Diceros bicornis minor: one gene and its partner. The protein of the gene in region 1 interacts with the protein of each later gene in a pairwise test. Links are inferred from orthologs where the notes say so. Each region holds a gene or a part of one and is shown on either strand. Other genes may lie near its edges. The genes, in order: BNIPL and GFER.

The links.
Region 2: the proteins of BNIPL (region 1) and GFER interact in a two-hybrid assay, tested with the Homo sapiens proteins (2 studies listed by BioGRID and IntAct). The link is inferred for Diceros bicornis minor from reciprocal best matches to the Homo sapiens genes BNIPL and GFER.

What each region holds. Positions count from the first base shown.
Region 1 is NC_080743.1:55,357,555-55,369,270, forward strand, and holds the start of BNIPL (bcl-2/adenovirus E1B 19 kDa-interacting protein 2-like protein), read left to right. Parts: upstream 1-7,222; 5' UTR 7,223-7,337; intron 7,338-7,427; exon of another isoform or gene 7,428-7,544; 5' UTR 7,545-7,609; intron 7,610-7,829; 5' UTR 7,830-7,867; coding exon 7,868-8,054; intron 8,055-10,605; coding exon 10,606-10,788; intron 10,789-10,978; coding exon 10,979-11,081; intron 11,082-11,244; coding exon 11,245-11,376; intron 11,377-11,716. Other genes in the region: exopolyphosphatase PRUNE1, read left to right, coding at 1,507-1,665, 3,764-4,192. UniProt on the Homo sapiens protein: May be a bridge molecule between BCL2 and ARHGAP1/CDC42 in promoting cell death.
Region 2 is NC_080765.1:46,421,581-46,433,378, reverse strand, and holds GFER (FAD-linked sulfhydryl oxidase ALR), read left to right. Parts: upstream 1-6,798; 5' UTR 6,799-6,923; coding exon 6,924-7,181; intron 7,182-7,533; coding exon 7,534-7,730; intron 7,731-8,618; coding exon 8,619-8,781; 3' UTR 8,782-9,433; downstream 9,434-11,798. Other genes in the region: TBL3 (transducin beta-like protein 3), read left to right, coding at 103-206, 303-374, 462-620, 706-815; NOXO1 (NADPH oxidase organizer 1), read right to left, coding at 1,193-1,659, 1,972-2,082, 2,177-2,358, 2,512-2,689, 2,809-2,884, 3,059-3,139, 3,234-3,299.

The DNA of each region.
Region 1 (11,716 bases):
CTCTGACAGTCCATCATCTTTCACTGCACTACTGTAATAGGCTCCCTACTGGTTTCCCTGCCTCCACTTTTGCACCCCTACAAACCGTTCTCCCCACAGCAGCCAGAGTGATCTCTTTAAGACGTAAATCAGATCATATCAGCCCCTGCCCTCACTGCCTTTTCATTGCACTTCTGATAAAATCTAAAGGCCTCACTGTGGTTTACAGGGCCCTCCTTGACCTGGTGCTTGTCTTCTCTCTGACCTCATCTCATTCCAGCCCTGCTCCTGCACTCACGATACTGCAACCACGCTGGTTTTCTTTCTGTTCCTGGAACCATTAAGCTTATTCCCACTCAGGGCTTTTGTTCTTGCTTTTCCCTTTGCAGAGCTGGCTCCTTCTTATCATTCAGGTCTGAGCTCAGATGTCTCTCTTTAAGAGGTTTGTCCTGACCACCTTAACTGAAGTAATATCCTCCATGCTAAAAATCTTTAGCAATTATCTTATTTTCTTTTCTTCATGGTACTTAACACACTGAAATAATGTTTCATGATTTCCTTGTTTATTATCTATATTCCTCTGCTAGTTTATCAGCTCCACCAGAGCAGGGACCCTATTTTGTTTCTGCTATATCTCCAGCACCTTTGACAGTCCTGGCGCATAGTGGATGCTCAATAATAATAATTGTGTTTTAATACCTAATTCTATATCATACTGGTTTAAATCATTCGACATGATTTGAACACGTAACTCTCATAGTCTGCACAGCTTTCTACTAAATACTATGTAAAAATACTAAATAATTAAAGAAAATAGTATGGCCTCTTCCCTTGTGACTCACAAGCTAGTTTGGGAAACAAACATAAGAACATAAAAGGCTTGCCAAGTATCATAATCACGGTACAAATTGACACAATAGAAATGCCAAGGATAGAGAAAAGCCCTGATCTGAAACAGCTAGTGGTATTATTCGTTGGAGGAAATACTGCATGAGATTTTGGAGAAGAGTATAGATTGGCAAAGAATGAAGAGCCAAGGATGCAGTTGTCACGTCTGTTGTTATTTATATGCCCCATTGTTCTGTTTTAGAATAAAAATACCCACAAGGCAAAGACCCTGCCTGTTTGATTGCGAGAGCAAGAGAGCCTTATACATGCCATACACATTACATACATTATCATTTTTTAATTCTTAAAACCATCATGTTTGGTAAATATTTTATCCCCATTTTACAGATGAGGAAACTTAGGTCCGGGGAGCTTAATATAACTCTTTGATCATAGAGCCGATAGGTAATAGAGCTGATTTTCAAGCCAGCTCTGCTTGAACCCAAAGCCTGTATTCTCCCCATTCTACATACTGGCTCCCAGCACCTAGAAAGCACAGAATAAATATTAGATATGTTTTTTGTGGAGTGCAAGTCCCAGGTTAACATGCAAAGAAACCCTTCATAAGCATTTTTTTGTTGATGGTGACAAGGAGGGTCCAGCTGTAGCCCTCATCCCTGTCCATTTCTTCTCTTTCAGGCCTTTCTGCAGAGGTCTGGCCTCACTGCAGATCTGCATGCCTTCTGCCAGGCTCACAGCTATGATGTCCTGGTCGCCATGGCTATCTTTTTCAACACTCACAATGAGCCAGTGCGGCAGTTGGCTGTTTTCTGTCCCCATGCAGTGCTCCGAATGACGGTGAGTCTCTGTCCCTCCTCCAACCTTAGGGCCATGCAGAGCTCAGCCTGTACACGCTGCCCTGTGCTGTAAACACCTCTCCTTGGTTCTTATCTTTACACAGAGATCCCTTGACCTATTTCGAGAATCTTCCCTCCCCGCTTTTTTCCATTCTCTATGTGAATATCCTTAATCATACTGTTGTTGAGAAAAGGAGATGCCAAAGACCATTAGAAATACAATTCCTGCTTAGAAGGAACTTGAACTCCGGTTAAAAGGAAATGTTATAAATCTGGAGTTTTTAACCAATTCTTGGTTTAATTATTAATTCCTCATCCCTGAAAATCAATTCCTATCTTCTACCCTGTTGCCTTGAAAGTTGGAAACAACAAGAGAAACCTTTTCTACTACTAATCATGCAGGGACTAATTACTCGGTATAGTGCTAACTCTGTCAAGAAGTGATCCAGGAGCAGGTTTGTTTTCTTTTCTGATCATCCATTTGGCCACCTTTCCTACCCCCTCCCCTTTCTTTTCCTCTGTTGGTTACTAATTAGCCCAGGAAAGAATTTAAATGTGGACTTAAGGCATTCCAGGGACTCTTTGGGTTGCATAGGCTATGTGAAGACTGCTGAAGACTGGTCTGAATAAAGCCAGATAATCCTTTGTGCCCCTAAAATGTTTGTCCGCCCTTTCCCACCTCTCTTTGCCTTTATCTTCTCCAGGAAGCAAATGTAACTCCATTCAGTGGAAGGTAGTTTGCCATTGTGGGAAGAACTACAGTTTTTGTTTTTGTTTTTTCTGAGGAAGATTTGCCCTGAGCTAACATCTGTTGCCAGTCTTCCTCTTTATTTTTTTATTTATTTATTTTTTAATGTGAGCCTCTGCCACAGCATGGACTCTAACACATGAGTGGCGTGGTTCCAAGTTGGGGAACCAAACCTGGGCTACTGAAGCGGAGCGCACCAACCTTTAACCACTAGGCCATCGGGGCTGGCCCAAGAACTACAGTTTTTAAAGGCAGATAAACATGCTTTTCTGTCCCAGATTTGCCACTTACTAGCGCTTTGAGCTAAGGCAAGTCAGTTGACTTCTGAGTCTGTAAATGGTGTAATATTACCTACTAATTAGTCTGATATGATCATTAAACACAATATCATATGTAAAGTACATTGCTGGGCACAAAATAAGCACTCAGTAAATGGTGCCTCTTACTAATCATGTCATGAAGGAGAGGGTGCTTCGGCTATAAGAAGGGCCTCTCCCCACCTTCCGAAATCTCCCCACCTTCTCCCTGCACAGCCCCTGTGTGCTGCTCCTCAGAAGCTGTGCAGATATCTGATGACTCTACCATTGCCCAGGCTGCCTCTGTGCTGGGAAATGAGAGTCCTCTTCATGGTCTGCCCTACCATTTCCTCTCTTCCTTCTATGTTAGGAATAGTATAATAGAGTGATTTAGAACAACCGGCTTTGGTGAGAGACATGGATTCAAGTGTCACCTTTGCTTCATTCAAACTATGACCTTAGGCAAGTTACCTAATCTATCTAAGCCTCAGTTTCCCGACCTGTAAATGAGGGTAATAGTAATACCAATCCTATAAGGTAGTTGTGAGGATTAAATGAGATAATATTTGTAAATGACCAGACTTGGCACCATGCCTGGCATACCTCCCAGCCCCAGTTTGATGTAGGCATGCTTTCTGCCTCTATCCTTCCCCTGACCTCAGTATAGATGCTTGTCCCATCCCAGCTAAGGATAGAGTTCAAGTTTTTGAGCACAGGAATACACTTGGAAACAACACTAGGTTAGGAGCTGGGGGTCTTGGGTTCTGGTTCAGACTCTACCATCACCTACATGATTTTGCTCAAAACACTTAATCTCTCTGAGCTTTGGTTTACTTATTAACAAAATGAAATATATGATCTCAAGTGTTTCTTCTGTTTCTGAAATACTATGTATATTAGCTGATGTGCCTTTTATTGCAAGCAATAAAACTGAACTCTGCATGACTTAATGAAAAAAAAAATTTCTCTTCTATAAGAGAAGCCTCTAACTTAGAAGTCTTAGTTCTTTGCTTCACCACCTTACACACCATTTCCCCGTCTTGTCTCCTCCTTAGATCTGTGGAGCCCTGGAACGTTCCCACTCTCCATCCCTGAAGCTGACCCCTGTCCCAAGCACCCACCCTAACCTCCAAGCCTATCTTCAAGGCAACACCCAGGTCTCTCGAAAGAAACTTCTGCCTCTGCTCCAGGAAGCCCTGTCAGAGTATTTTGACTCCATGAAGATCCCTTCAGGGCAGCCTGAGACAGTTGGTTTGTCCAGGGAGCAAGTGGACAAGGAATTGGACAGGGCAGGTAACTCACTGATGCCTGGACTGAGTCAAGATGAGGAGGAGCCTCCACTGCCCCCCACACCCATGAACAGCTTGGTGGATGAGTGCCCTCTGGATCAGGGGCTGCCTAAACTCTCAGCTGAGGCCATCTTTGAGAAGTGCAGTCAGATCTCGCTGTCACGCTCTACTGCTGCCTCCCTGTCCAAGAAGTGACTGTTGGGAGGGAAGGGGATAGTGAGAGAGGTTGCTTGAACCACCTCGAATGCATGTTTTGAGATGTTTCAGCAGTTCTGTCTTTATTGCTCCAGGATCTGGTGTACTGTTCTCATAAACCTGGGAGGAGAGAGAACTGGAAGAAAGCAGCTGCTTTAGGAATGGCTTTCTGCCTTGTCCCCCTAATCTCTACCAATCAGACAAATTTTATTGTTTAATTTAAATTTTTAAATCTACATTGACTCTCTTCTGTTTCATTTGCCAAGGGCACAATGTAATACATACACAGTTCCAGCAGAGCAGCACAAAAAGAATGTGTACACCAAAAGTGCCCTCAGTAAGGCTCTTTACCAGAACAAATATCTCTCATGGAACCAAACGTTCATATATTGAATCCATGTCTCCATGTATTCATTTATTGTCTTAGTAATTCAAGTATTTATTGAAACCCTACTTTAAGCTAGATAGAAAATAGAGTGTGCTTCAGAAACTTATTCCAGTTTTTAGGCTGTAGCAGATTTCCAGCTCCATAACTCCTCTTTCTGCCCCCAGTTTGGTGATGGTGTCTGATTCTGAGATGGCTAAATTTCTATTCTGAGCTTATTGTGACTCTCAGGATTGTTTAGAAGCAGATTGGAGGCCATTATCTTCTGTCCTGATCAGGTTTTCAGTTTCTTTGGATCTCTCTGTCCCAGAGCCACAGGGACCCTGAAGAAACCCAGAAGACCCCTGGTTCTTGAGAGTTCAGGAGACACCCAGGAAGGCCTTAAGACCTCATAGGCACTCTTCACAAAAGACAGCAAAACTGCATTGAGAGCCCTGGCTCTGTCCCCTGCCTGGGTGGATCAGTCAATTTCTTGTCCATCTCATTCTCTTCTTGCTCATAGTAATAAAGGAAGCATGAAGTTCTAATACTGACGGCCATGAACTATGTGTCTTTTGACAAGATACTTCATTTCTCTAGGTCTCATTTTTCCCATCTATAAAACTAAGGATCTGGACGAGATGTTCTCTGGTATTCTGTGATCTGCCTCTTGCTGCCATTGTTTCTCTCCTCTGCTTTTCTGTATTTTTTTTTTTCTGTTTTCCCTGGGAATTTTCAGGGTCACTGGATTGTCTGTATTTATATGTGATTGTACCAAGAGACTCAGCCTCATGTAGCATGTACAGAGGTATGATTCATACATAGTGACCCAGCAAAGAGCTCCCTCCCACTGACTTGTTCTGCATGTGTAGAGTCTCCCTTTTTTCTTCAGACCAAACTGTTCCCCCTTTTCCTACCCCACAGCTCTATTCCATGTAAGTTGCCAATGGTTTCACTGAACAGTAGGGTCTGTGATAGTTTTGGCATGATGTCTTTAGTGTGTGGGGGACAGTCTGACTTTACTTTGAGGGTATGATGTGTGTAGCCATTGGAAGGTAAAAATAGTGGTGTGATTACTGAACCAAAGGAATTTATGTTTTGTAACTTGGGTACTTTATTTTGTATTTTGTTAAAGTATTAAATACTTTTTTTCCTGTTTGGGGTTTTATTATTGCCTCTTTTTACAACTATAATCAAGGCTTTCCCTCTGATAATTGTTTCAGCCTCCTCAAGATTCATCTCCCTTCTTCCTCCTGTACATAATGTCTTCCTTCTGTTGACCCTTTGTGGGAATAATGAGCAACAGTCTTCTATCTCCCGTCATCCTCAGCCTTTCCTTTAACTTGTTTCTTCTTCTAGAACCCTCCTTATAACATACTTCTGTGTCCCTGATTTTGCTTATGCTCAAAAAGTAGGCCCAAAATAGTCTTAAAACCAAAATGAATTTTACCTTTGTGGTTTTTTTTTTTTTTTTTTTTTAAGAGCAGCTTTCAGGTTATAAGATGAGTCTGGAAAGGAGAACAAATTGCCTTCCTAGACTCCCCTAAAACTAGTCACTTTAGAAAATATACTTTCTTCCCCAAAACCCTCCCACACATAGGCAGGATTTTTCTTTTGGGCAAACCTACTCCTTGGGAATGGAGGTGGCAAAACCTGTTTGAAGGTGAAGTTACCTCCCTTCTACCCCTCCCTCCTCCTTGGAGGCAAGAGCAACAACAGCTGAGACAGAGAAAAGGGTACAGAAGTGTTGGGGAGCTGGGGTAATCAGCTTCCTGACAATTCCAAGTGTTTAAAGAGGGAAACAGGAAGACTGGTGAAGATGGGAACTATACAAGAAACAGGAGAAAAGACACTAGATCTTGGGTAAGTGAGATCTCGGCTACCTTGATTGGAAGCGAGGAGTGAATAGTCTTGAAGGACTTTCCCACTATCCAGCTCTCACAGGTCAAATCTCAGGTTGCTAGAGGAGACAAGACTGTAAACGAGTTAATTTGCAGAGAAGGGATGGGGTTGGCTTTGGGTAGGAAACGTCAGTATGGTATGGGAGCTGGGGAACAGGATTACAGATAATTCCCTATTTCTTTTTAAAGGAAGTTTCTATATATTATGTCTGATAAATCTGCCCCTGTTCTCTGTCTCACCCTCCATAATGACCATCGGGAAAGCTGACCCAGAACTAAATTTAGGTCCAGGTTCTTCTTCCCAGCAAATCTCTCTTCTTCCTTACCTTCCTCCCCCACCCTTCTACCTATGCCATGGTTTCCCCTAACCACTCCCCAGCGTGACGGAGGAAAGGCAGGCCTGACTAGGTGCCATCTTCCCCAGCTTTGCCCAGTGACAGCTGGGCAGGTCTGTCAGGTTCCAACCAATTGTAATGTGGAATACCTCTTACCCCTACTGTGTAGGTGGAGCAACTGCCGTAGAAGTAAATATGATTAGCTTTACATTCCATCCTTCCTCTGCTCCTAAACCCAGCAGTTGGGGTAATCTGTTTCCAGCAAGTGTAAATGTGGTAGAAACATCTATCTAGGAAACAAGAGACTTGAGTTCTTTTGAAGGCCTGCCCTCTGCTCTGTACCTTAGTTACTGTTCTTCATTCCAGTGTCTCCAACCTACTCTCCAGTTCCCTTAAGACACTGCCTATTTTGTCTCATGGTAATCTTTTCTTCCGGGGGTCTATCATAGGGTCAGGGAGAACGCAGAAGCAGCAGGACTAGGAGCATCCCCAAGACTTGGGGAACTGGAGCTGAAGGAGGAATGGCAGGATGAAGAATTCCCTAGGTAAGGAAGTGTGAGGGAGGTTGGGAGAAGGGGGGGGATGGTCACAAATGGAGGGCAGGGATGGTAAATTAGGACTTGAAGGAAAGAGGTGGCAAAAAGAAAGCGGAGATGATAAAATTATGGTGGGGAGAGAAAATTAATAAAGTGATACCTGGCTTGATGACTTTAGCCTATATTTCTGCCCCCTTTTAATCTTTTCCCCTCTAGATTGCTTCTTGAAGAGGTTGACCCTTCTGAAGATCCTGAAGATGCTAAAAGAGACTTGCAGGCAGGTAGGTAAATTAGAACCTAGGCCTCAAGTTCTTGATTCTAGTCCAGTGAAGGGTTATGCCACCCTTATCCCTTTAGGTTCTACTTCCCTTTTCCCAAATGTCCCCTGTGTTAGTCCTTCTTTAGAATTCACGCCATATTATCACTTCCATTTACAGGCATTCTGACCTCCCCTCACCAACACACATCTTTCTTTTCTTCTCTTCCCTCCTCCAACCCCAGGCACCCCCAGCACTTTAGCCTTGTGTGGCCGGCGCTGCATGCGCAAACGTCTTTCTGCCCCAGAGCTGAGACTGAATCTGGCTAAGAGGCCTGGAGATAATGGAGCTTCTCCCACCCACTCTGTACCTTCCTCTACTGATGGCAGTTCTGACCTGGAGGTAGACGAATTGGAGACACCTTCAGACTCGGAGCAGCTGGACAGTGGACATGAATTTGAATGGGAAGGTAGGAAAGAAACCTGAGGACTGAACTGGTAGAAGTAGAGGCCAGTGTTAAAGAAGCTCAGGATGGATTTAATGGGACTGAAGTTAGAACTAATAAGGTGGAGACCAAGAGGTAAGGTCAGCAAAATTAATTTCTTCAGAATGGAAAGGTAGAACTACAGATCCAATGTGAGAGTAGTCGGCGGGGGGAGAGTGTCCTTTGTTTATTAAGGATAATTTTATTGAATGACTGTTACATGTTATCACTGAGCTAGAACTGAGTTATAAAGATGAATAAGATAGTTCCTACCCTCAGGGAATTCTCTGTTTAGTAAGAAATAAACATATCTACAAATAAGTGCAGTTAAATATTATGATCTACATGTGTGTAGAGTACAGTGTAGGCAGGGAGAAGGAAGAGGTCAGTTCTGCCCGAGGAGCTAGGAAAAACTTCGCAGAAGAGGTGATTCTGAGCTGATGTTTATCAGGTAGTTGGAGAGACATTCTAGGTGGAAGAAGCAACTTGAGCAATAGCATGGCATGTTGGGGAATTTAAAGCATTTAGCATGACTATTTAGATATTAAGGAAAACTTTGTTTCTTCTCTACTTACAACACTTCTGACACCAAATGTGTGGGTTTTCCCCACACCAACCAATTCTCCAACTCTCCAGACACCAACTGGGTGTCCTACAATTCAATTATGACATTTAACTGGAGTTAGTGCAGACCCCACAGGTTAAGAGCTCACCTACAGGACTGCCCCCAGACTTCAGACACCACTCACATGTCCAGGTTCTGGACATCACCTATGCTTCTGACCAACTGGCTACAAATCAGAGATTCCCACTACCCCCTCCTCAGGTTTGATAATTTGCTAGAATGGCTCACAGAACTCAGGAAAACAGTTTACTTACTAGATTACAGGTTTATTATAAGAGGATACAACTCAGGAACAGCCAGAAGGAAGAGATGCATAGGACAAAGTATGTGGGAAGGGATGTGGAGCTTCCATGCCCTCTGGGGGTGCACCACCCACCCGGCACCTCCATGTGTTCACCGGAAGTTCTCAGAACACCTTCAGTTCAGGTTTTTTATGGAGGCTTCATACATAGGCATGGTTGATTAAATCACCGACCATTAGTGATTATCACAACCGCTAGTTTCTCTCCCCTCCCCAGAGGTCAGAGGGTGGAAGTTCCAACTCTTTAATCACATGGTTGGTTCCTCTGTCAACCAGCCACCTATCCTTAGGGGCTTTCCAAAGTCACCTCATTAACAGAAACTCAAGTCGTTGCAAGGGGCTTTTTATAAATAACAAAAGATACTCCTTTCACCTTTATTATCAAGAGCTGTTTCAGGAACCAGGGACAAAGCCAAAATATATATTTATTATTATATCACAGATATGTAGGGCTGGGAGGTGAAGGGAGAATGACAAAAGGTAGTGCTATGTTAAGTAGGCAAGGGTCAAATCCTGGAGATCCTTGCTACCATGCTAAGGAGTTTAGATTTTGTCCTGTAGGCAATGGGGAGTCATTGAATGGTTTTGATCAAGGGAGTAAAATGATTAAATTTAATGGCTCTGAAAAGATTGGAAACAACCTAAAAGTCCATAGTAGGGTATTAATTCTATTATGGTGCATCCGACAATGGAATACTAAATACTAGGCAACTATTTTTTAAGATGAGGCAGCTCTTTCTATTGCTGTGGAAAGATCATGCAGAATTAGTGGGTATGGTGTATTGCCATTTGAGTAAAAAAGGTAGAGGAGAAAAGAAAGCTTACTCTAGCAGTGGTGTAGAGGGTGGAATGGAGGAAAACAGACTAGAGGTGGGGAGACCAGTTAGGAGGCTGGTACTAAGGCCAGGTGAGAAATGCTAAGAACCTGAACCAGGACAGTAGTTGTGGAAAGAATGATAAAAGAATATAATGGAGGTAGATGGCAGGGGATCTCGGGTCCAGTTGGCTTCAGGGCTGATAGAAAAGAAAGAATCTCAGATGACATACAGTATTCTCTCTCAGGCAGCTAGATGGATGGGGTTGTTCATCAAGAAAGGAAATATGGGAGAGAGGAGGAAGAGAATAAGTCTGAGTTGCACTTTGGGTCTGGTAACTCAGAGATGACAGAGAGACACAAAATAGAGATGTCCACTCTAGGCAGTTAGGGATATAGGTCTGGAGTTAGGAGAGAAGTCTGGGTTAGAGAGGCAAATTGGCATCCTCACCTACCTGCTGGTAATTGAAGACATGGGATTAGATGAACTAACCCAAGGAAAAGCATGGAAGAAGGAAATAAAGAATCCAGAAAAAGCTGATACTCGCAACGGCCATCAACATGCCATAGGGCAAGGTTACCTCAGGGCTATTGTCTAGTGGAAAGGTGAGGGTAATGAGTTGCAGGAAAGAAACTAGCAAGGGGTTGGGTTGATTGGACAAACTAGAACTAGAGTCACGGAAAAAAATTGAAGAAGGAGAGGTTGGAGTAAGAAACTCTAGGAATCTGGAGAAGTTACAAGATACTCAAGGTATATATTCTGCCTTGTTGATCCTTCCCCATCCCTCTCTTTTAGATGAGCTGCCCCAGGCAGAGGGTCTGGGGGCCAGTGAGGCAGCTGAAAGGCTGGGCCGGGGTTGTATGTGGGACGTGGCTGGAGAAGATGGTCATCACTGGAGGGTGTTCCGAACAGGACAGCAGGAGCAGCGAGTGGACATGACTGTCATTGAGCCCTATAAAAAAGTCCTATCTCATGGAGGTAATGGATAGCATAAGTGGAGGATGTAAGAACTGTGACTTCTTGAATAATTGCCTAAGCTGGAAACTCAGTTATTGGGTTCAAAATCCTTCCTGTAACTTCCAGAGACCCTCAGAGTCCCTCAACCTAAATGCACTATCTGTCAATAAATATTTGTTGACTGAATGAATTTTCCCCTTATCTTCCCCAGGTTACCATGGTGATGGCCTCAATGCTGTCATCCTCTTTGCCTCCTGTTATCTACCCAGAAGCAGCATCCCCAACTATACCTATGTCATGGAACACTTGTTTAGGTGAGGTGGAAGGCCTGAAGGGCTTCAGGGTGGATGTTAGGGAGGGAAAAGGAAAAAAAAAACCCTTCCATGATCAGTAGCTGATTGTAGAGTTTATAGTAATGTCTCTCTCAATCCCCACAACCCCAAACACATACTTTCCCTGACAATTTCGTCCCCCCAGGTATATGGTAGGAACTCTGGAGCTGCTGGTAGCTGAAAATTATCTGCTTGTTCACTTGAGCGGAGGCACAAGCAGGGCCCAGGTTCCACCTCTGAGCTGGATACGCCAGTGTTACCGCACTCTGGATCGGCGGTGAGCCTCTGGGACGAGAGGGCTACAACTCTCTATCTTTTCTTTTTCTTTTCCATCTTTCCATCCTTTCTTCATCCATTTAGTCCCTTCCTCTTTTCTTTGTCCCTCTACACCCCTTTCCAAGCCTGTTCTGTCTTCTGTCCTCTCTTGGAGTCAGGGAAATCTACTGTCAAATCTTGCCTTCACCACTTACTAGCTGTATGACTTTGGACAAGTCACTTAACCTTCCTGGGACTCAGTTTCCTTATCTGTGAAATGGCAGTGATAATACCTTAGCCCCCGGGTATTTGTGAAAATCAATGTGGCATACTGCCTGGCACATAGAAGGCACCCCTGCCTA
Region 2 (11,798 bases), on another chromosome or scaffold:
GTGTTCAGGCCTGGGCTGCTGGCTCCTGAGCCAGCCTCCTGATGGCTCTTCTTCAGCCCCAGCCAGGTACCCCAGTAGCCTGTCCTCTCTCCTTCCCACCAGGCAGCAAGAACTGGACAACCTGCTCCAGGAGAAGCGATACCTGCGGGCGCTGGGCCTCGCCATCTCCTTAGACCGGCCGCACACTGTGCTGACTGTTATCCAGGGTCAGTGCTGCCTCAGGGGCCAGACAGACGGTGGGGGGGTGTCTCAGGGGTCCGTCATGCCCCTTCCCTGGGGCTCAGTCTTCCCTCCTCCAACAGCCATCCGGAGGGACCCTGAGGCCTGCGAGAAGCTGGAAGCCACAGTGTTCCAACTGCGGCGAGACCAAAAAGGTCTGGGCAGGCAGGCGGGGGCTGGAAGGTGACTAGCAAGGGTGCAGTGGCCTGCAGGACAGGTTTGACCATCCTTGTCACCTGCAGAGGCCTTGCTGCGTTTCTGTGTCACATGGAACACCAACTCAAGGCACTGCCATGAAGCCCAGGCTGTGCTGGGCGTGCTGCTGAGGCACGAGGCCCCAGAAGAGCTGCTGGCTTACGAGGGTGTGCGGGCCTCCCTTGAGGCCCTGCTGCCCTACACCGGTACGTGGGCACAGCCCTGGGTGGGGGCAGGGAGCAGCCCAGCCAGACTCCGTGGACCCCGTGACAGCCCGCTGTCCTCCCCCAGAGCGACACTTTCAGCGGCTCAGCCGGACGCTGCAGGCAGCCACCTTCTTGGACTTCCTCTGGCACAACATGAAGCTGCCCACCCTCCCTGCTGCCCCCTCTGCCCTCTGAAACATGCAGAAAGCTGTACTTTTCTACCCCAGCTCCCTTTCTTTGTCTGGGCTTTGTCCTACCCCAGGTCTAGGGCACAGCCTTGGCCACTCTGAGGGTGGGCCACCAGCCAGCCCCATCCCTGTGCCCTGGCCTGGCCACCATCCAACAGGCCCTGCCCTTCAGCACAGACACGGGGTGTGGGTCAATCAGAAGAGCTTTACTCAGAGGAAATAGCCTCCTGGCCCTGCCAGCCAGGGAGTCCCACCCTCAAATGCTCCTCCGCAGCCCTGAGGGTGGTATGGCTGCCATCAGTCATCCTGGGGGTCTGGAGCCTCTTTCCTGCAGCTCCAGCTGTGGGGTGCACAGTGCAGCCCTCTCTGCAATTCCACACACCTTCAAAGGGGTCCCTGACCCCTTAGGTCCCGCTCCAGTGCCCTACGGGTGATGGTGCAGCAGTGGCTCTGTATGGCACTCAGTAGGGGTCGGGCGGGCACCGTAGGGGGAAGGGTCGTGGCCTGGAAAAGCTCAGGGGAGCTTTGGGCCTCCCCCACGCTGTCCTCCCCACTGTCAGCCCCACAGTGGAGCCCTGGGCGGCTCAGGAGTGCACCCAGCCTGTCGGGCCGAAGCAGCACAGCGGGGAGAAGACCGGTGCGACCATGGAAGCTGCGGGAAAGGCAGGAGTTGGTTAGCACATGCCTGGTTGCGGTTAGCCTGGGCCCCAGCCAAAGCCCCACGCCCGCACACCTGCACAGCCACCAGCCGCGGTCTGACGTTTTCAGCACACGCACGCGCGCCCCCGCGGGCACTGACAGCTCATCAGCCTGTCTGCTCTCGTAGGCGCAGGAAGCACAGAACTGGGACCCTGGGAGTGGGTGCTTGGGGGTCACCACAGGGCCGCAGAGGCCGTGACCCCCACTTCTCAGTCCCCTAATCATCTCCCGGTGAGTCACCACCCCCAGGCTCTCCCCTGGATCTCTGAGGACACACCGGACCACTCAAACCCACTGGGGCTTCTGCTTGCTGTGGGGACCAAGCACACACTGTGGGGCTGCTGCCACCACCTAGTTGTCCCACCACCTCACTCCCCTGGCTCCGGTGCTTCCTGTGGCCCACCCAGCCCTGCGCATACTTCCCAGTGGTGGTGGTGGTGTGAGGAGGAGGGTTAGTCTCATACCACTACTCCCTAGAGGCTGGCCCCCCTCTCGCCCCTGGCGCGGGGCCACCTCCAGGTAAGGAGCAGGAAACCATGCTGTCTGCTGGTCTTCATTCGCCACCAGCCACCAGCCTGTGTGCAAGAGGTGGGCGAGGATTCAGATCTGGAGGCCCGCTGGGAACCCAGGGGCAGAAGGGCGAGTTCCTGGACCTCTGCCTGGCCCCACCTGAGGGGTGGCGCAGCAGCACGTCCAGAGCCTCCTGGGCCTGCGCGTAGAAGGGCTGATCCCTTGTGTCCTGGGTGCGGAAAGGCTGCAGGCAGCGCAGGGTCTGAGCTTCCAGGCTGCGGATGGCGAGGCTGCTCGTGGGGCGGGGTAGGGGCTCTTCGGGGGTGGGCAGGATCACTAGGCTGGGAAGGACGGCGGGCGCAGGTGAGAGGTGGGTGGGTGGGTGGGGATTGGCCCGCCCCTTCCTAGCCTTCGCTCCTGGGTAGACCCTCCGCCATGCATCCCCAGTCCTCCAAATGCTTCCGCGGGCAGGGAGTTGGGAGAGGGTCAGACACCTGCCAGGCGGCAGCGCGGGATCCAGGTCTGTGGGTTGCGGCGCGAAGAAGGCAGTGAGCGCTGGGCTGCGGGACACACGCTCCGCCGCCGCCAGCAGCGTCTGCAAATAGTTCTCCAGCAGCCGCAGGCGCGCGAGGCCGCGGGCCGTGCGCCTGCCGCGCGCCAACAGCGATGCGTCTGCGGGCGCAACAGGGACAGACCATGGGACCCGGCCCCAGGGCTCCCCCAACCAGGCCGCGGCCGCTGCCGCTGCCGCTGCCGCTCCCGCTCCCTCCCGGGATTCCTGCCGGCCTGACCCGGAAGCTTGGGGAGAACGCGGTCGGATCTCCGCAGCAGGCCCGCCTCCACCGGGAAGGTTTCCTTGAGGGTCTTCTGAGGGCGAGAAGAGGCGTATCAGTCTCCAAGAGCCCAGCGGGTTCCCTTGGGAGGGCGGGGGTCCCTTGCCGGGATCGTAAGGGCTGGGAGCCCGAGAAGGCAGGCACTCAGGTGGGGGTCATTGGTGGGTCATACACTAGGAGGCCGGTTTGGGGAACTAGGGTCACTCACATGAAGCATCCTGAACTCGTCCCAGCTCCTGCGCACGAAGGTGTCGCTGTCATCCGACCAGCGCACAGAGAAGGCGAACGTCTGTTGGAGGAAAGGTTGCGGGCGTCTCCAAGGGGCTGGGCCGAGAACTCTCTCCCTCCCCATTGGAGCCGGCGGGGACCCCGTCGGGTTGTACCTGGAACCGCTCTGTCTGCACCAAGGCCGCAGCGCGCACGGACACGGGGTGCCGGGGGCCTGCCATCGCTGTGGCCTCTTGAGTCCCGGTCGCCAGCTTCTTGAGCCCGCTGCCTCCCTACCCTCTCAGAGGAGGGGGATCCCCCGCACCCGGAAGACTGGTTGGAATTCCCCAGCAACGCCCTAGACCTGCCAGGTCCTTGCAGTGCTGCCCTGCTCCTCGGTTCTTCGCAGCTTCCTCGCTGTGCCCAAAGCCAAAGATCTGGGTGGAGGGGCAGGAGCACAGGGCGCGGGGGGTGCCCAAGGCAGAGCTGGTGAGAGGGGGAGGGAAGAGGTGGTGGAGGTGCCAGGACTGCTGCCTGAGGCCCTCTTTCCCGTCCGCCAAGGAGGAGGAGGAGAAGGAAGAGCCATCAAAGGGCCCCCAGGCCTGGCCCACCCCTCCCGCCTGTCCACGCCCCATGCAGTGCTGGGGCTGCTGAGAGCCTGTGGGCAGGGGATGCCTCCGCTGGCTCTGTCTTTGAACCCACCTGGGGAGCTGACTGCAGTTGTCATCAGGAAACAATGGCCCAGTGCTAAGGGCTTTAAGTGCCTTATTTGGCTTAATCCTCACGTTGGAGGAAAGGTCTCTTAGTGTCCTCAAGTCAGAGAGGAGGAAATTTGTGTTAAATGGATAATTAATGTCAGTTTTTCTGTCTGTGTTGGGGAGGGTCGGACCTCACAGGCTCACCTCAGAGGTTCCCCTGTGGTGCAGACAAGGCAGGAGGAAGAGGGTCCATCTCTGCAGTCACCCACACTTGGGGGTTGGGGGAGGTGGTGACTAGGACTGTTGAGAGCTGCCTCTAATTCATGATTTATCACAATTACCTGCAAACACTGCCTCTGAGATCAGGAGTGACCATTCCCTCACTAACTGGGGTGGTGAGGGGAATATCCTGGAATCCCCAAAGAGGGCATGCCCAGGTGCCTCACCTCTCTGGACTGCTTCCTTATAGGGGTGATTTCCAGAGCCCCAGCCAACCCTGGCGCACAGTGGTTCTTCCTGCTGTTGGGGCCACCAGCTTTGTGTTGGGATTCCCCCTACTCCAAGTCCTCCAGGGAGGGGTCAGACTCTAGGGCATCCCTCCAGGAAACCACTCTGGCCTTGACAGAGGGCCTTTGTTTGTCTGTCTGACCAGTGACTCTCTCTGAACCTGTAAACCTTCCCTGGTCTTGGCCTAGGCAATGAACACCTGCTGACACAGGCCTGATTCGCAGAGTGCCTCTTGCCTGGCTGTCACACTCTCCTGAACTTCAGAGGAGCCACGCTGAGGGCCTGAGGGCTCTGCTGGCCTGGCAGGATCCAGGGTGGAACAGACTCTGCTCCCCTGGAAGACAGAGGAGAGAAGGTGGGGAAGAGCCAGTTTGCTCACAGCCAGGGACCTAGAAGGACTCTGAGGTCCCCTCCCTCCCTCAATGGGCAGACCCTGCTCCACACCCTCAGCAATCCTTGGTCCTTCCCACTCTTACCCTCTCCATATTCCCTACCCTCATCTCTCACCTGAACAACTACAACAGCCCCCTCCCCCAATGCCTGCGCTCCTCACTTGGTCCCATGAAATCCACTCTCCAGAGGAATCTGCAAAAGAGATTTTGCAGGTTGGTGTAGCCCTGCCCAAAACTGTCCAGCATCTTCCTACTGTCCTTAGAATAAATTCCTAGCTCCCATGGTAGCCTATGAGGTCCTTGGTGGGCCTCTGGCCACCTCTGGACCTCCCCTCCCACCACCCTCCTCAGGTCCTGCCCCACTGGCCTTTCTGCCCATGCAAGAGGCCAAGGCCCTCCCACCTCCAGCTTCAGCCTTGACTGCCCTCCTCAGTTGATTCCTCATTCTCAGGGAAGCCTCCCCAATTCACCATGCCCTATTCATGGCCCTCATCACAGTATGTAAGTGAACATTTACTATGGTGACTCCTATTTTTGTTTTTGTTTTTTCTGTCTTGACTGGACTATTGTAGAGAAGAGATTTCCTCTACCCTCTGGGTGCTTCTGGCTGGAGTATGAATTAAATTGACATGAGACAGAATAACAGGAGAAAATTAAACAAAGCTTTATAACACGTATACATGGTAGAGACCCAGGAAAAACTGGGTAACTCCACAAAATGGTGGAGGCTCTCATCTTAAATACCATCTTCAGCTAAAGACAAAGGAAGATGTTGGGGGCAGTGGTTTGGGACTTCAAAGGGGAGGAAAACAATTCACATGGAACTGGAAAAGCAAATGTTTGGTAAACAGAACTTTGATAAGAATGGATTTAGCAAGGACCCTCCCAGTCTACTGATATCTAGAGTTATCTATGGTGATGGCCTGTCCTGGGGACAGGCCTTCTATCTTAAATTTCTTTTAGACAGTTGGGGGCCGGGCTGGGGGGGTGGGGGTCAGTTATGGGAGATTACCAGAAAAGCACAGTAAACAAGAGTAAGGTTATTATGCAGATTTAAGTCCTTGCCTTCTGCATGAATGAGTTGCTAGAGATAAGGTCATCCCCTCTTCTTCCTGATACAAAGAGGGAGATACCTTTACAGATGGAGATTTCCCTTACAAATGTAAATGTCTCCTACAAAGGGTAAATTCTACTTTTCAGAGTTTCTCCCATGTCTGCAGTTTTTTAAAGTAATAATGCTCATCAGCCCAAAATAACCCTCACGCCAAAGAGACACATTTTGGGGTGGCCAACTCTAATCCCCCACACTATGAACTGAGCAGGTCAGGGACAGATCTTGTGCCCCGCCCTGCCCAGCGCCTGTAACAGTGCTTGGAACAGATTAGGCATTACACAAATATTTGCGGAATGAATGAATGTACATATGGAAGCAAAGGTATACCTGAGGACACTCCCGACGTGGGTGTAACCCCTTTATGCAGGTTAATGATCCGGGGCCGCTCGGTGCCCCCGGCAGCCGAGACACGCGCAGAGTTCTCAGCCGGCACCGCCCCTCCCAGCGTTGCCAGGCGCTCGTTGCCATGGCGCCGGTCGCCAGGGCAGATCCGTGGGACCCGGGTCCTAGAGCGCGGTCCTCTGTGCGCTCAGGGCCCTGCCCGCGTTGCCATGGCACCGCGCGGCCTGCCGCTGGGCGCGCCCCCAGCTGAGGGCACAAAGCCTGGCTGCGGGCACGCGGACGGGTCAGAGCGGAGTGATGGGGCCGTCGCGGGCTGCAACACGGACGGCGCCTGGGCCGCCGTCCGAGTCCTCGGCGCAGCCGCGGCGCGGCTTCCACCACACGCTGATCTTCTACTGGAGAAAGCGGGAGCGCCGCCACGGACGACGCAAGCCGGGCTCGGGCCGCGGAACGAGGCCCAGGGGCGCGGCCAAGAGCCGGGCCTCTGGCCCCGCCTCCGCCCCGGCCCGGGCCACCGGCCCCGCCTCCACCCTGGCCCGGGCTTGCGGTGCGTCCTTGGCCCGAACCCCGGCCTCCAGCTCCGCCTCCTCTCGGGCGCGGGCCGCAGCTCCCGGCCCCGCCTCCACGCCGGCCCCCGCCCCGGCTCCGGCTCCGGCTCCGGGCCCCGCCCCCGCGCCCAACTCGGCCCAAGCCCCCGCGCCTGCGCCCAGCTCCTGTGGCCGCGCCCTGGCGGCGGCGCGCGCGCTGGCCTGGAGGCCGACTTGGAGGCCCTTCTGGAGACCGAGCTGGCCCGGCAGGCATTGCGCGGGCAACATGGCGGCGCCCGGGGAGGGGAGGCGCTTCTACGGCGGGAACCTCTTCTCTTTCTTGCCTGGCGGCGCGCGCTCCGAGGTGATGGACGACCTAGTGACGGACGCGCGCGGCCGGGGCGCGGGGCGGAGAGATGCCGCCGCCTCAGCCCCGACGCCAGCCCAGGCGCCGACCGATTCTCAGGTCGCCGAGGACACCTCCCAGAGGCGGCCCTGCCGGGCTTGCGTAGACTTCAAGACCTGGATGCGGACGCAGCAGAAGGTTCAGATGCCCGGGGGTGCCACCTCCCGCAGAGGCCCGCGAGCTCTGCCGACCCCTAGCCCCGGCCCCCACACCTTGTTCTCAGGCGCCCTGGGCAGACCTCCCAAGGCCCAGGCCGAGCGGTCCCACAGGCCCCATGCCTGCAGACTTATGCTTACCAGGGTTGCCTGTCACTAAGTCCTAACCCCAAGGTGGGCCTGGCCTTTCAGCTTTCAGCCACACGTGGGCCAGATCGGCTGCAGGATTTCTGTCTCGAGTCAATAGGTTTCCGGCTAGGGTGGGAAAAAGAGGAGCTTTGTGGGCTTCTGGTCGGGGGAGACTGAACTGACCTTTGGTCGGTCTCCTTCCGCAGCAGGACAGCAAGTTTAGAGAAGATTGTCCTCAGGATCGTGAGGAACTGGGTCGCCATAGCTGGGCTGTCCTTCACACCCTGGCCGCCTACTACCCGGACCTGCCCACCCCAGAACAGCAGCAAGACATGGCCCAGTTCATACATTTATTTTCTAAATTTTACCCGTGTGAGGAGTGTGCAGAAGACATAAGGAAGAGGTAAGTTACGTCTGCATCATTTGCAGGCAGGAGAGCATGCCACCTGGAGCCTGGGTCCCCTGGCTGATGTCATAAAGGGGAACCTAGAGAAATAGGTGCAGAGGTGGCAGAGGGCTTCGGACAGCGGGGACCACCAACAGAGTGGGGATTGGATCATCTGAGCCATCTCCTTTCCCTGTAGAGGCCAAGCAGCCTGGGTCTACTGCCGGGTGCTTTTGCAGCCACAGGGCTCCCGGGGAGGGCTTCCCCCATGAGACCCCTTGCTTAGCACTGATGGAGGCTCCTGCAGGTTAAGGATGACTTCACTTTGCCTGACTTCTGGAGCAGGACTGCTGGTTTCAAGACCTTGAGAATCCACAGCTTTTGCTTCCAAGAGCCACCTTTTTCTCGCTGGGGAGCCTAAGAGCCGCTGTTTGGCACCCTTAGGTGTTTCTGGGCTGGATGTGTGGGGCAGGGCTGCCCTTGCCTTTTGAAGCCTGAGCAATTAGAATGAGGTCTCTTACTGAGCTGAGGTTCCAGAGCCCCAGGTGCTAAGAAACAGGTGTGGTTTTCAGTTATGCCTTTGTGCTGGCTCTACCCCTTCCATACACTGCCCAGGGCAAAGGACACTGGGGTGAGGCTTCCTAATGGTTCTGAGGTTGTAAAGTTGCCTGGTCTGTGCCTTAATGACTTGCCCTGGGCTCTTGTCAGGGTTGCCAAGCTCCCCAGGTGGGTGTCACAGGGTCCGCCCTGTTTGGGGAATTCCTGTCCCTCAGCACAAGGGCACTTCTGGGTGTAGCTCACTGCAGCGCTCCTGCTCGCCTCCCTGGGTGGAGCAGGCAAGGAGCTAGTGGGGCAGGGGCAGGGGGCCCGCTGCCTCCCCCATCCTCCATTGCTCCCCCCATGCAGGATACACAGGAACCAGCCAGATACACGCACGCGCGCATGCTTCACCCAGTGGCTGTGCCGCCTGCACAACGAGGTGAACCGCAAGCTAGGCAAGCCAGACTTCGACTGCTCGCAAGTAGATGAGCGCTGGCGTGATGGCTGGAAGGACGGCTCCTGCGACTAGACGGCAGCCAGCAGGAGTCCATGGGGCAGCCAGCCAGGGCCTGTGGGCAGCCCGGCTGGAGAGGGGAAAGGCACTCATTAAAGTGTGTCAGAGCCAGAGCCTGTCGTGTCTCAGTTAGGTGGTCCCCAGACACTGCCCACAGGGCCCTTTCCCTCCCACATTTGCAGTAGGAGTGGAAGTGTCTGCGCAGGTACCCTGATGGCCGCCGCCTCAGCTGAGGCCCAGTGGGGCTGCAGGTGAAGGAGGCAGGAGCAGCCCAGACTGTCCCTTCCATTCAGGATGTGGCCTCCTGCTCACTCCACACCCTGGCGCCCACTTTCCCACAGGACGGCGACAGGTCTGGCTGGGCTGCCCTGCCAGGCCTGGCCATTGTCTCCCCTCCCATGTAGCTGGGGACAGCTGCAGTGACTGTAGCCCCAGAGACTGTGCGAGCTCTGCACTTCAGGAAAGAGGGCTGGGGGAGAGCTCTCTACGCTGCTCAGTCTACAGGGAAAGCACAGGCAGGGCTCTTCTCCGAGGGTCCACCGACCCTGTTGCCTGCCTCCCATCTAGCACGTTGCCTTCGCTAGCTGCACCAGGCCTGTCAGAGGCTTCATGGGGCCAGCTTCCTTGAAGCTTGAGACCAAAATAAAGTGCTGGAGAAGTGACTGAGGACCTGGCTTCAGTGTGTTTTGTGCTGGGACTTGCAGCGATGGACAGGGTCTGCCCTCGTCCTCTGTGGTCAGCTGCTTCCTCCTGTCTGGGTTCTGGCTCCTTAGGAGGAAAGAGAGGTCCCACGGCAAGAGTGGACCAGGATATTCCAGGAACAGCAAGGAGGCCAAGTTGCTGGAGCCGAGGGAGGGTCAGAGAGGTGAGGGAGGTCAGATGGCACGAGGTCTTCAAGGCCCCAGCAAGGATGTGGTTTTAACATCCAGCTTCAGTCACAAGAAGGTCTTGGAGGACTTGGAGCCAAGGAAAGGTGAGATGTGACTTGAAAGTTCTCTCTGGCTGCTGAGCTGGGATGAGGCAGGCACCCCTGCGGCAGCTAAGAGGGAAGCTCGCCCTGTCGGATGGAGAAGACAGTGGATAGACTCTGAATGTAGAACCAAGAGAAAGGAGCCAAAGGTCACTTCAGGGTTCCAGCCTGAGAAGCTGGAAGGGTGGAGCTGTTCTGTGTAGCAGGGAGATGGAGAAGGCTGTAAGTGGAGCAGGTTTGGGGGTGACCTAGACCCTGCTTTGGGGCCTGCCCGGATCCACTCAGCCACACCTGCTCCCAGGCCTTGGCTCCCAGCTGGAGTGGCCCAGCAAGTGTGCCCCGTCCCTGTGGTCATAAAGCTCTGGTCACCTATATCCCCACGGCGCCTCCGCCTCTCCCTAGGCACAGGCCAGCCTTTGGCCTGGCCTCCTCAGCTCCTTCACCCAACTGGCCCCACAGGGGTGCTGGCTTCTGCAGGGGCTTCCCAGAGGGGCTGGGTGACACAAATAGGTGGGGAGCAGTCAGCACAGAAGTCACTCCTTCCTCTCCCAGATGGACTGTCCCCAGCACAGGGCTTCTCCCTGGCCTTCCCTGTGGTTCGCTCAGGAACATACTGCCCGTATTTGTCCTCCCTCCTGCCCCGCCTCATTTCCCTTTTCCCCCAACTCGGGCTTCCCCGAAGTTTCACCCCCAATAAAACTCTTAACTTTGCCACAGACTTTGCCAGGGCATCCACGCTAAGACAAGTGGGGCTCTAGTTCAAGGGAATGTTCTGGCTCGAGCTGTCAGCACGTAGACCAAGGGAGTGAGCATAGAGGGAGGAGAAGAGCCCCTAGACCACGCCCTGGGGCCACTACAGCTTCAAGGTCACAGGTGGAACAAGAGGAAGGAATCAGAACAGGGTGACAAGAAAGGGCCCATGAAGTAGGAGGAACTCGAGGAGAGGGTGACATCAGAAGCATTTCCAGAAAGGTGGGGAGGGCAGTGTCTGAACTGCCCCTGGACTAAGGGGAGCAGTGACTTGGGACAGCTGGAGGGGAAGTGGGGTCAAGAGTGGAGGTTTGTTTTTAAGAGAAGAAAGCGTAGCATGTTGGGGTGCTAACGCAAATGATCAAGTAAAAGGATGATGCACGAGACAGAGGGCCAACTGTCGCTGACAGGTGAGAGGTGACGGGATTGGACCCACAGTGTGAGGGACTTGACGCAAGACTGGTGGGCAGCACCTCTGGCCACACCTCCCCTGGGATGGGTTCTGTCAGGCATCACCGTTTGTCCACGTGGATGGCACGGCAGGGACCTGAGTTTGAATCCCAGCTCTTTCTGTGATCCAAGAACTCAACCAGCCTGCCTATTTACCATCTGAACAATGGGGTAATAACAGTCCCTACCTCCACAGGTCCTTGTGACCCGCTGGGCACTGTCAACGCCCAAAAAATGTAGACTTTTCGTATCAATGCTCTAGGCAGAAACACAGGAGTCATCCAGGCACCTGCCAGGCTGGCCTGGAAGGAACATGATGGAAGGGACCCTGTCTGACGGGGGGCTGGGGGATGTGTGGAAGAGACCCAGCAGGGGCCAGGAGCTGCTGAGACCCAGCAGGGGCCAGGAGCTGCTAGGCCCCAGCTTAACCAAACTCCCATCTCTGATGCTTCTTCCCACCCTTCGGCCCCAAACTGAATATGTCAGCCACAAGTCAGTCCGGGAGACCCAGGAGTGTGGATGGCTCAGTGAGCGCCCTCGGAATGACAACATCAGGCCACAGGAAAGGAGCAGATACCCCAACTCCCACCCATGCTGGCCTGTGGGCTCTGCCAGCCTGGACAAGTGCTCCTGGGGGCAGAAGCCATCCTCTTTCTCTGTCAGGGAGGCTGGAACCCTCTGAAGAAGAAGCCAGGGTGCAGTGGGGGGTCATGGGAAAGGCCCCAGTATCCTATATTCCGTCTACCGGGGACCAGGACCAGGGAGCCTGGTTCCCCTTCCCTGAGGGCTGAGGGGAAGATGCTGGAGCCCCTAGTTTCCGGTTACCCCCTTACACACTCACGAAAGGGCCCTGCTCAGAGGA